4 linked regions of the Sus scrofa genome follow. The protein of the gene in region 4 purifies or fractionates together with the protein of the main gene of each other region. This does not show direct contact. Links are inferred from orthologs where the notes say so. Each region holds a gene or a part of one and is shown on either strand. Other genes may lie near its edges.

Region 1 (2,755 bases), on a different chromosome or scaffold from region 4:
GATTAATGTGACCCAAGACCATCAACATTTCTCATCCAAAGCTGGTCTTACCTGAACCTCTGTCTTCGACCAACTGAAGCAACTTGGGATTAATTGCCTGATTAGCTTCACGAAGCACAGAGATAAGGTCGCTCACTTGCTTTATGTTATTAGGTGTAAAGAAAGTGTATGCTGTGCCTGTTTTGGTACTGCGGGCAGTTCTTCCAATTCGATGAATATAATCCTCTGAGGAGTTAGGGTAGTCATAATTGATGACAAATTTCACATCTTCCACATCTGTAAGGTGTTGCAGTGTGGCAAAATAGCAATGTACGGAGTTTTGCACACCACAACAGCCAGACCAAAAATAAAAAGTTAGACAATTGTATTCCCAAGAAGGTATGGGCTGCAAAAAATACAGTTAAAATGGTTATCCATTCCCTGTAGGAATACCATTGAGATTGAAGAGAGAAAAATAAGAAGCACACGTCACTTATACGCCTCGTGACCCACCCAATAACGGAGCCTGTCAAAAGGACGTGTGTGTATTCCCTAATACATTCCCAATTCAGCCAAGTCCCCTTACAGATCATCAAGTGACATCTGAATGCTTCTGCGCAGTAGGGCCACTTAAAGGTTCACAGCAACCTCCTCGTGTGCTCATTTTGAGGACCTTTCAAGAAAAAGGTACATGGTCCTTTGCATTACACACTCATCAGAAGTTCAAATTTCTGGCCACACTGCTTGTCTTGCCAAGACCTTACAACCGCAGCTGCAAGAAAAACATACCTGTCCCCCAAAAGTTGTTTTTATGCACTGTGTCTCGTCTAGGCAAGCGCTTCCAAGAAGCCAGGATTCACTTGAGAATGTGTCTCTCTCTGGCAGGTCTCGACATGACGACTACTGTGTAGGTGAGGGAGGAACTTTCAAAGCACTGCTTTCTTTTCCCACTGACTAGGTGTGAGAAGTTGTCCCTGCTCTAGGATCTTATGTGCCAGTACTCACCAATTTGTAAAAGGCTTAGTACCTTTTAAAGCTGCTCTCTCCATTTCAAACTTGGAACAAAAATTTCATTGAACATTGAAGTTTGGAACTATTTCTTCGACATTTCAGCAAACTCACTGAAACTCAAAGACCCACAGATCACAGTAAACAGTTTGCAACAATGCTGTACCATGGCAGTCATGCAAAGCATGGGACAGAAGAAATACCACGGCAGTGAACTGTGAGGATAACTTCCATTTTTTTCCCCCGGAGAGAACAGTTTACGGGGCAGAGGTGGTATGTTCTGCCTTTTGAAGATTACTGGCACACTTTCAGCTTTTCACCTCTCTAATCGACTGGAAGCAGCCAGCCGATCACTAGTCCTCCATCCCCCTCGAGTCCTCCGATTGTCATGCCTAGGCCTTGCCACAAAGACTGCACCTTTATATGAAAAAAACTTGGAAAAAATGCAGAGGTTAAAGAAAGCAATAAACTTTCTTTAAAAAATTAATGGAGATCTTCTGGGAAACCAAGCCATGAATTCGAGTTTGTACTAACCTAGCCCTCTGGAGGCCACATCTGTAGCAATCAGAATAGGAGCTTTTCCATGTTTGAATTCTGCCAAAAAAAAAAAAAAAGTATATATATATATATATATATATATATATATATACACACACACACACACACACACACACACGAAAATAACTGACCAAAATGGAATTTAGGTTCTGGTGGTGGTGGGGAACCTTTCACTTGAAATACTTACCATTTAGAACCCAGTCACGTTCCTGTTGACTTTTGTCACCATGGATACCCATGGCAGGCCACCTAAATTAAAGAGAAGTTGTATTAATACACTCACATTTAAACATCAAAGTCTAACTGTCAGAATTTAATTAAGCACATAAACATTTTTGGTCAAAGATCCTTTTAATTTCAAATAATGTATCTACGCTCTCATTTATACCATCAGATTATCCCCATTGATGAAAGTCAAAATCCATCAGGAGCTCCCTTCATGGCTCAGGAGTAATGAACTGCATTAGAATCCATGACGACGCAGGTTCAATCCCTGGACTCTTTCAGTGGGTTAGAATCTGGCAATGCCATGAGCTGTGGTCTAAGTCATAGACACAGCTCAGATCCTGCATTGCTGTGGCTATGGTGTAAACCAGCAGCTACAGCTCGGGTTCAACCCCCAGCCTGGGAACTTCCATATGCTGCTGCAGGTGCAGCCCTAAAAACACAAAAAACAAAACAGAAAAGGAAAAAAAACCAAAACAAAAAAACAACCCACCTCAAGTCTAACGTTACTAAAGTTTCTGCCCTCCCCCTAAACTCAGCTCTTATTAATACATCTGCTTCAATGGAGGAAGCCCACATACCCATCTCTCCTCATTTTCCTAGTAAGTTCATCACATCTTCTTTTGGTTTCAACAAAAACAATGGTTTTATTTTCCTTCTCACTCATGATCTCTTCCATTAGGCGAATAAGTCTTTAAAGAAACAAAAAATTGTGAATTCTAAGTTATAGTCAGCAAAACACTAACTTCAACTCATATGGCTACAAGTCAAACACCTGCTTAAACGTATAAACAGTCTATCCTTGGTCTTGCCCCTGTTAAGACAGATCTTTTTTTCTATAGATGATAGAAACATGATGACAACCAATTACATGAACAAAGGAAGCAAAACAATTTTCAGAACAATGAATAGACCAATTTCAACAGCCAGATTCCAGTATGACTGAAAGTCATGTTTAAGGTAACCTATAAATGCATGACTCAAT
Region 2 (3,500 bases), on a different chromosome or scaffold from region 4:
CCTAAGAGGAAAAAAAAAAAAAAGAGTCAACTCGGTTAAGACAGTTCCACTAGAGGGAGTCCCGTTGTGGCTCAGGGGATTAAGAATCTAACTAGTACCCATAGGGTTGTGGGTTCGATCCCTGGCTTCTCTTAGCGGGTTAAAAGATCCAGTGTTGCCGTGAGCTGTGGGTAGGTCACAGGCACAGCTTGGATGTGGCATTGCTGTGGCCGCGGTGCAGGCTGGCAGCTGCAGCTCCAACTGGACCCCTAGCCTGCTGCAGGTACAGCCATAGAAAATCAAAAAAAAAAGAAAAGATAGTTCCACTAGAAATTTGATACATGTGATACATAAAGACAGTTATCAAAGTAGCTTAACCATTGAGCTGGGTCATGCAGCGAAAATATCATACGATGAGCACAGTTCGTCAATACACCCTCTAGTGTCTACCCAAACCCCATATATATTAAACCTAACAAGACAAATGTTTACCTATCAAGTTTAAGTCATCGAAAGATTGCTGACACATTGCAAAATATTGTGACAACGGCAAATATTTCTTTAAAATTTCAAATGCAACACCACTGGTTAAAATGTTAGGAGTGCTTATTACAGCTGCATGTTAAAAAAAAAAAAAAAAAAAAAGATCAGTAATAGAGTGTCTAAATATCAATACAACCTTGGAAACAATTACCCATTCACTTAAGCCAAGAATATTTTAGCCATTTTAGTATCATTTTTATCTCAATGATGGCATACTGATGACAATGTGTGGCCTAACAAATTATCTATTCTAACAACGCGACATTAATTTCTGGAAAGAGTACTAAGTATGGCTTACCATTCAAGACAAAGCTAGATAAAGTTGCAAAAATTTATAATATTATCAATTTTATAATATTTTGGTCCATTACACTGACTCACCTAATTTGCTTTAACTCTTTATTCATTATTCAATAAAAATTCTATGAACTGACAAAATATTCTCGAAAGAATACAGGTCAATACTAAGCTACCTCTGACAAGACTTGGGAAAGATTACCACAAATAATGAGTGCAGACTGCTGTTTAACAGGACTGTATACACTAATCCTGGTGCCAATAGTTTCTCCAGTTAATTTCAGCATCAAGGATAATTTAAGACCACTCTAACAACAGAAATCCTAAACAGTGCCAATTTCTAAAGGTCCTCAACTTAAAACACCAGAACCTTGGAATGTATCTTATTTATTTACAATATTCCCAATGTATTTTAGAAAGTCTAATTTCTTCAAAGTAATGTAACTCCGAGCAAATTAAAATTCAACACATGATATGTTCTATTTAATTTGATTCCATCAAATATGTGGGAAGTAAACAAAACAAAAAAAAAATACATTGGAAAAAATAAAGCCTATGTAAAAACAATCCCAAATTACTTTGGAAAAAAAAAAAAAAAACCCTAACAATTATAAATTAATAAAACTAATGAAAACAGGGAGTGAAAAAAAGAAATGACAAAACCAACCCCTCCTCGCTGACCATCTACATGAATGGAACGGATGTGATCTGCCAGATCTGGACTAGAGTTGAAGCAAGCCTGGCACTGGTCCCAACAACAATTATAGGCAATATTTTTGCTTGAAGAAGTAGTGCTTCCTTGTCCATTCATCATTGCTGGAGTTGAACGCCCACTGGAAATTGTGCTGTCTACATCCATTATAGTACTGCTTATGCTACAAAAGAAGAAAAAAGGCTGTGTTATTCCTAAAAATTCACTAACATGAATATGATCTTATAAATACTCAATTAAGATAACTACTTGACAATCTGCCCATAAAGCATACTAACCATATTTTCCATTAGAAAACAACACTGCTTTACAATTATTTAGTTTCAATTATTCTCTGAAGCTAAACTTCAAATAAATATTATCTGCAATAAAGTGCAAATCAAGACAAAAACAAAAATAAAAACAAAAAAAGCTAGCACCTCAAAACCAGATATGGGAATAATTTAAGCAACTTTCCACAGCCATGAAGTTCCCAAGACTATACCCTACAGAAAACAAACCCGTCACACACAGACAGACACACAGACACACAGACAGACACACACACAGCTTATCACATTTCATCCACAATTCTAAAAAGCATGATAAAGTAATAAAGCGACCATGATTCAAAATCAAAAGGTTATCTTTAGAGTTCTGCAAATCACTTTTTGAACTGAAATCTTTTCTTCTATTCACTAATCTGAGAACACAACTATCACATCCTACCTCTTTCCATCTCAAAGAAGTTGGGAAATTTTGCTGTATTTTCCCTTCTTAATAAAAAGGCAAAAGAGAGAAAACTGAGATCAATAAAAAGTTTCCCTGGTTTTCCCAAAGTCCAAATAAAAAGTATTTTCCTGGCACTCAAAAAAACTTTTAAACCTTTATGCACCAAAAAAGACTGAAAATGCCAATCAATCCCCTTTACTTTTTATATACTAAACAAAGTATTAGTAATTCTTCTTGTTTACTAAAAAATGACATTAGTAACAAAAGTAATTTCGTAATTTTGAAAGCTCAAAATTTCACATCATGGTAAAATATAACATCCTTTGCCTTCATTTTATAAGCAATTCACTTTATTTTCTTTTTTCAATATCTTCTCAATAGAGAAATTACACAGAAGTAGTTTCAATCACGGAAGGACCAATAGTAAGAATGCTTCAGATTAAAGCCACCAAAAGCCATATATCTGCCTGCAAATTAAGTACCAGTAAATTATAAAAATATTAATTTTTTTTTGTCTTTTTGCCTTTTCTAGGGCCACTCCCGCAGCATATGGAGGTTCCCAGGCTAAGGGTCCAATCGGAGCTGTAGCCACTGGCCTATGCCATAGCCACAGCAACACAGGATCCAAGCCGCATCTGCAACCTACACCACAGCTCACGGCAACACCGGATCCTTAACCCACTGAGCAAGGCCAGGGACTGAACCCACAACCTCATGGTTCCTGGTCAGGTTCGTTAACCACTGAGCCACAATGGGAACTCCAAAAATATTAATTTTTAATGCCTCCCTATCTCCAAGTTTTTAATATAAAAAATTTCAAAGACACAAAAATGTAAATCTAAATCTGAACTCATATATTAGAGAACAAACTAGTGGTTAAGAATGGGAAGTGGGAAGTAGCAAGTGGTAGGATGGGGTATGGGCTTAAGAGGTACGAACTACGTATAAAATAAATAAGCTAGGTTGTTTAAAAATGTCTCAGATTTCCTTTTAAAGGATATTCATATATTTAAGTCTATCTGGCTATCTACCAGTCAATATAGAGATTCTAAATTTGAACTCTAAAACTTCATTCTGAAACTCTGTAATCTCTAAAACACTCTCAAATGAGAATCAACTCTTGACTATCCAAAAATTTATTCATATAGTTTGTTTCTGCAGGAATAAACTAAAGGTCTGGTGATTTCCTATGTGGAAATACAAATTACTATTTGAGCCCTAGAAATTTCAAGTTCCATGAGGTCCTTAACTGCAAAAT
Region 3 (3,500 bases), on a different chromosome or scaffold from region 4:
GACCAGTGGTGGAAGATGGGAGACTGCTGGGAAATTCTCACCTTGTCCCTCTTGCTCCAAAGCTGAGAGTGGAGGGAGGGGGAGCCTGCAAAAGCAGGTGCCATCCTTAGAGCCAGCATCTTTAGAAAAGTGCTCCAGGTGCCTACAAAACAAAACCAGGTTGGAGAGGATCACAGAGAACACCTGGCCTGTTCTGTCCTAAGCATTCCCACCGAGCTGCCGTCCCCCGGTCCCTGACTGCAGAGCTCCAGTGAGCCGTGGCCACTACCTCCAGAACTGCCACCCTCCTTCCCCTCCCAGCCTAGCTCTGCTTTCTGGACACCCCCCCTGGGGAGGGGGAAACAAAAGTGGGAGAGGAAGACCAGGTTCCAGTGGCTCTTTCCCAGCCACTGTCTCATGCTGCTCCTCCCTCTCTGTGCCCCAGGTCAGCAGTTCAAAGCAGAGCTGCCTTGTGACTTTTGAAGATAATTCCAAGTACTGGGTCCTGTGGAAGGACATACAGCATGGTGAGTATTCCCATGATTTCAGGCACCCCTGCCCCACCCCTGGTCCTCTCTCCTCTACCTCCATTTTTTCCCTCTCTCTTTCTGTCTGTAATTTCTGGCATCTGGCGGTGTCCTTGGAGTGCCAGGCCCACCCGAGGTTATATAGGCATATGGATTTCCAGTTGTACATTTACGTGGAAACACACTTCTGACATCTGTCACCCCCTTGAATACTCAGACCTCAGGAGGGAGGCAGGCAGATGGCTCAGGAGGTGTTGGGAGAGCTCGGATGGGTCCCAGGCCTGTGTTTGCTTCCATGCTGCCCGAAGCTCTGGATCACTCTGGCACTAGGAACAGAGGAGCCCCAGGCAATCAGAATTGTCACCTTTACATCTAAGCACATTGTCCTCCTTAACAATATCAACATGTTAAGAAAACTAGGGAGGTAGCTCTATCCATGGGGAAAAGACAAAAAAAAAAAAAAAAAAAAAGCAGATATGCACCAGGCAGGGTGATGGTAGACATGCCCAGGTGGAGCTGGGACAGTTTTCAGAGTTGAAGGGGAGCTGAGTTGGATACCACCCCTTGGAGAGTTGACACTGTCTTACAGAGATGGGAGTTTGGTGGCATTCTTACCACCATTCTCCCTTCCCATGTCCATGCCAGACATCACTAATCAATCACAATACTCATATATTTTGAACATGGAGCTCCAAGAAACTGCTACCAATCAGAGTCACCACGAGAGAAAAGACCTTTTTGCCAGTTATGCTCTAACAGGAGAACAGACATGGTGGTATGTGGGGGGAAAGGCAGATTTTAGGGTCAGATGGTTCCTGGACCAAGATAGTCTAGCTCTGCCGCATACTAGCTGCCTGTCTTGGAGCAAGTGAGCTAACCTCACTGAGCCTGTGTTTTCATCTGAAAAAAAGGAGATTGTGAAAGTAGGGTCCTCACAGGGTGGTTAAGTGAGATAATCCTTGTAAAATGCTAAGCCCAGTGCTGTTGAGGGAGCAGCAGTTTCTGAAGAATTTGTTACCGTAATAGGTGATTTTAAGAGCCTGCCAAGCAGAGGCCAGTTAGTAGAGCTTGCAAATTGCCTTTTTCTCCAAGACGTTGTGGCTAATGCAGACTGCTTCTCCAAGCCCCTCTCCCTCAAAATGCATCTTTAAAGATCCAAAGCAGGGAGTGCCCGTTGTGGCGCAGTGGTTAACGAATCCGACTAGGAACCATGTGGTTTTGGGTTCAATCCCTGGCCTTGCTCAGTGGGTTAAGGATCCGGTGTTGCCATGAGCTGTGGTGTAGGTCGCAGACGTGGCTCAGATCTGGCATTGCTGTGGCTGTGGCTGGCAGCTGCAGTTCCAATTCAACTCCTAGCCTAGGAACTTCCGTATGTTGCATGTGCAGCTTTAAGAACCAAAAAAAAAAAAAAAAAAAAAAAAAAATCCAAAGCAATGAGGGTCTCCTCTCCTGGGGTACCTTCTTAGCTAAAGGAGGGGAAGCCAGCTGGTGAGCAAGCGAGTTCACCTTAGCAACCGTGAGTAGAAGGCTCACTCTGGGCCCAGCACCCCGAGGAGGTGCTATGCTGCTCACCTCAGGAACCCACAGCTCCCAGGCCACCCAGTGTGAGCGCATGGGCACCACACAGTGAGTACCACCTTCCCAGGAGCATATTCAGGAATAAGAGGCAAGAGACTATTCAACAAGCACGTCTTGAACACCTGTTATGTGCCCTTCCCCATAAGAAGTCTTGGGGACGCAGAGATGAACAGATACCATTTCTTCCCTTGTAGAACCTTCGATCTGCTGGGGGAAATGTGACAGAAGCACACAGAAAATCAAAATGTATTTACTCTATTCACTGAAACCTTTCTCCCATAGATATGTATTTATTCTTCAACAAAAGCAAATTGCAAGGAAAAGAGAGGGATGGAGAGGGAGCCTTTAGATTAAAAGCAATTGAATGAACTTAAGACTTTCTTTTGTAGACAACTGGAAATGTGAACATTAACTGAATTTGTTGTGATATTAAGAAATTACTTTTTAGGTGCAGTAAAGGCGCTGTAGCTTTTTTTTTTTTTTTTTTTTTTTTGGTCTCTTTCATTTTAGGGCCACACCTGCAGCATATTGACATTCCCAGGCTAGGGGTCGAATTGGAGCTGCAGCTGCCGGCTTACACCACAGCCACAGCAGTACAGGATCTAAGCCGCAGCTTGTGGCAAAGCCGGATCCTTAACCCACTGAGTGAGGCCAGGAATGGAACTGTATCCTTGTGGATACTAGTTAGGTTCTTAACCTCTGAGCTGCAGCAGGAACTCCTGTAGTTTTTTGTGTGTTTTTACATAGAGTCCTAATCTTTCAGAGATACATATTGAAATGTTTACAGAAAATGAATGGGTATCTGGGGCTTGATTCACAGTAATTCAGGAGGGGGAAACGGGTGGGAATATAGTCAAAACAAGATTGGCCATGAGTTCATAATTGTTGATAAGAACAGAGAATTTCATTATAACATTCTATTATTACCCCACAACCAAAAGTTTTCAATTAACATAAACTTTAACAAATCAAGCTAAATTAACCAGGAGATAAATTAGGTAGCATGATATAGTCAAATGAATAAATGATTAGATGGCAGACAGCTGTGGGTTTGAATTCCCATCTTTCCTACTGACTAGCTGAGTAAGGGACTTAAGCTCTCTGGGCCTCAGTTTCCCCATCTCTAGAATGGGGGAGTGGTAATAGGCGGCTGTGGGCCCAGCACCTGGAATGTGATTTGAAAACTCCTAATTCCTGTGACCCTGACCTGACCCTAGAGGGCCTCTTTCTTTCAGCCGGAGTTCCTGGGGAGGAGCCCAAGTGCAACATTTGCCTGGGGAAGACCTCAGGGCCTCTGAATGAGATCCTCATCTGTGGGAAGTGTGGCCTGGGTAAGTGTGACGAGCAGGGCACCAGAAGGTCCCGCCCTGTGGCTTTCCATCCCCTGCTGACTTGTGACTTACGTTGCCCCCCACG
Region 4 (2,586 bases):
TGAGAAACTTAACAGAAGTTTTTTGTATTTTACCCTTGTTCCCCTCTCATTTCACCTCCTACCTTTATATTTATGATCACTCACTCAGGCCTTCTTCATTCTTTTGTTTTAGGATAAACGCTCCACTTGTCATCTTGGTCCTAACTCTTTGGGGATTTTTCTGGTCTTATATATTTTAATTCTATTCTTGCTACTGTTTCTTTTCCATAGATATAAGCAAATCACCCTATGTTTGGGACAGAATCACCAAGTACACTGTGAGGTAAGTTTTACACAGGGGAAAACTGAGGCACAAAGATGTTAAGTTACTTACCCAAGGTCAGTTAGTGGTAGAGCCAAGATTTAAATTCAGTTCAGTTCTAGAGCTTATACATAATCACTTTATTATCTACCTTTCTTCAGTTAAACAAACAAAAAATAATCATTGCAAAAAGATAAGGTGCAATTTTATTACTTTCAACATTTCATCATAACGAACAAAGAAAATAAAATAACACAGCTTTACAAAAATAAATTTTTATTAAAAGCAGTAGAATCTGAGCAGGAGACAGTACAAAGAGTGTAAACAATGTAAACATCACTACATTCAGCTCAGCCTGATTGAATGCTGAAAGACAATTCTAAATTGCTCTATGTGCCTTTACTAGCAAGATACATTAGTTCTAATGTACACAGAAAACACACTGATTTTGATTGGGAAAAAGTATTTTATCGAAGTCTGTCCCAGCGCCAAATACTGGCATCATCACAAACAGCTATAAGAATGCTGCTATCTCTACTAAAACTGGTTTGTCGAATAGCAGCACCACATTTATGATGAGTCAGTGTTGTACATCTAGGGAGAAAACATGACAACAGGTTAATACCATACATACATAAGACTGTCAAGTATCTAACTTAACACAATGAATAAGAAAGTGAATAGATGCTCCAAGTCATATAGAAAAGCATTTGAAACCAGAATAGACTTCACTAAGGGCTCAATCTCAAATTTCATGAAATTGGGGTATACTTTAACTCCCAAAGGCACCCCATAACTTAAATTAAAAAAAGCGAAATAACGTGTTACCAAAGTATTTGGGAAAAACAGTTATAGAATAAAAGAGAAATACTTTACAATACTCTGAGAATGTAAATGTTACAAATTATTTAGGATGGCACTGCACATATCAATTACTTCCTTTATATTGAGCTAACACTTTGGAGAAAAAAGGCAGAAATTATGAAGAGGAATTTCTAAATACTTACTTGGCTTTATGAGGATCTTCTACTTCTAAATCCCAAACATAAAGTTTACCAACTTGATTGCCCAATGCAAGCATCTGTATAAACACATTTTTTTAAAAAAATATTAAAGTAAGCTATAAGATTTCAAGCAATCCTAAGACACTTTGTTATTTCAGAAGATCCTCAGCTGCAGCCTATGGCAATGCTCTTGATTGTGTCTTTGCATCTTATATTTCTGATTTGTAAAGGAGAAAAGAGCAACTGATGCCCCACAAAAGTGTCTTGAGTAAATTAAGATATTTTACAAGTTTATGAAGAACTTTAAAATTTACAATGTTATTAGCATGTATTCCTTATGCTGCCTTAAAGAACTGTAGTAAAAGCCGTAGAAAATCTGCAAAGCTTTTATATAGAAATAAATATCCAAGTAATTTGTTATCACAAAATCCTAATTAATACCCAAATTTCTTTAAAACAAGAAATTAGATAACTAATGTCTTGTCTCTATCTTCCATGTTGGTTTTTCTAAGAAAATGCTATAGAAAAAGATTAACATTCTGTAGTTCCCATCATGGCACAGCAGAAATGAATCCGACTAGGAACCATGAGTTTGCTGGTTCGATCCCTGGCCTCACTCAGTGGGCTGGGGATCTGTTGTTGCCGTGAGCTGTGGTGTAGGTCACAGACACGGTGGATCTGGCATTGCTGTGGCATAGGCCAGCAGCTGTAGCTCCGATTGGACCCCTAGCCTGGGAACCTCCACATACTGCCAGTGTGGCCCTAAAAAGAAAGGAAAAAAAAAAAAAAACAGATTAACATTTTAATCAACAAACATTAAATCTTAGTAATAGATGTTAGGGATAATAAACACCTGTCACCATTGACACTTGTCAATTTCATTTATAATAAGCACTGCGGATGGTGTGCAGAGCACAAGGGTAGAATAAATAACATCAAAGGCTGGAGTTCCTGTCGTGGCTCAGTGGTTAAGGAATCCGATTAGCAGCCATGAGGCTGTGGGTTCAATCCCTGGCCTTGCTCAGTGGGTTAAGGATCCGGCGTTGGGGTGAGCTGTGGTGTAGGTCACAGACACACTTGGATCCTGTGTTGCTGTGGCTGTGACACAGGCCTCTGATTCAGTCCCTGGCCTGGGAACTTCCATATGCCACGGGTGCGGCCCTAAAAAGCAAAATAAATAACATCAAAGGTCAAAGCAATTAGTATTTTTTTTAAAAAAGGTAGATTAAACTTTGAGGAAACACAACACAAATGCACTACAGAGAAAATTAAAACTGCCATGGTTTTACATCAAATAATTTCAAAACATAAAACATATTGCTACCTTTTGCCAGAAATCCA

The links.
Region 1: the proteins of EED (region 4) and DDX5 purify together in Homo sapiens (affinity purification with western blotting; 3 studies listed by BioGRID, with this or other methods). This does not show direct contact. The link is inferred for Sus scrofa from reciprocal best matches to the Homo sapiens genes EED and DDX5.
Region 2: the proteins of EED (region 4) and AEBP2 purify together in Homo sapiens (affinity purification with mass spectrometry; 6 studies listed by BioGRID and IntAct, counting the BioPlex papers as one, with this or other methods). This does not show direct contact. The link is inferred for Sus scrofa from reciprocal best matches to the Homo sapiens genes EED and AEBP2.
Region 3: the proteins of EED (region 4) and PHF19 purify together in Homo sapiens (affinity purification with mass spectrometry; 8 studies listed by BioGRID and IntAct, counting the BioPlex papers as one, with this or other methods). This does not show direct contact. The link is inferred for Sus scrofa from reciprocal best matches to the Homo sapiens genes EED and PHF19.

The regions. Positions count from the first base shown.
Region 1 is NC_010454.4:14,575,731-14,578,485, reverse strand, and holds part of DDX5 (probable ATP-dependent RNA helicase DDX5), read right to left. Parts: intron 2,463-2,755; coding exon 2,352-2,462; intron 1,795-2,351; coding exon 1,733-1,794; intron 1,582-1,732; coding exon 1,522-1,581; intron 277-1,521; coding exon 52-276; intron 1-51. UniProt on the Homo sapiens protein: Involved in the alternative regulation of pre-mRNA splicing; its RNA helicase activity is necessary for increasing tau exon 10 inclusion and occurs in a RBM4-dependent manner. Binds to the tau pre-mRNA in the stem-loop region downstream of exon 10.
Region 2 is NC_010447.5:53,667,488-53,670,987, forward strand, and holds part of AEBP2 (zinc finger protein AEBP2), read right to left. Parts: intron 1,695-3,500; coding exon 1,487-1,694; intron 1-1,486. UniProt on the Homo sapiens protein: Acts as an accessory subunit for the core Polycomb repressive complex 2 (PRC2), which mediates histone H3K27 (H3K27me3) trimethylation on chromatin leading to transcriptional repression of the affected target gene.
Region 3 is NC_010443.5:260,913,277-260,916,776, reverse strand, and holds part of PHF19 (PHD finger protein 19), read left to right. Parts: intron 1-424; coding exon 425-506; intron 507-3,319; coding exon 3,320-3,415; intron 3,416-3,500.
Region 4 is NC_010451.4:20,156,662-20,159,247, reverse strand, and holds the end of EED (polycomb protein EED), read right to left. Parts: coding exon 2,570-2,586; intron 1,323-2,569; coding exon 1,249-1,322; intron 836-1,248; coding exon 709-835; 3' UTR 501-708; downstream 1-500. UniProt on the Homo sapiens protein: Polycomb group (PcG) protein. Component of the PRC2/EED-EZH2 complex, which methylates 'Lys-9' and 'Lys-27' of histone H3, leading to transcriptional repression of the affected target gene.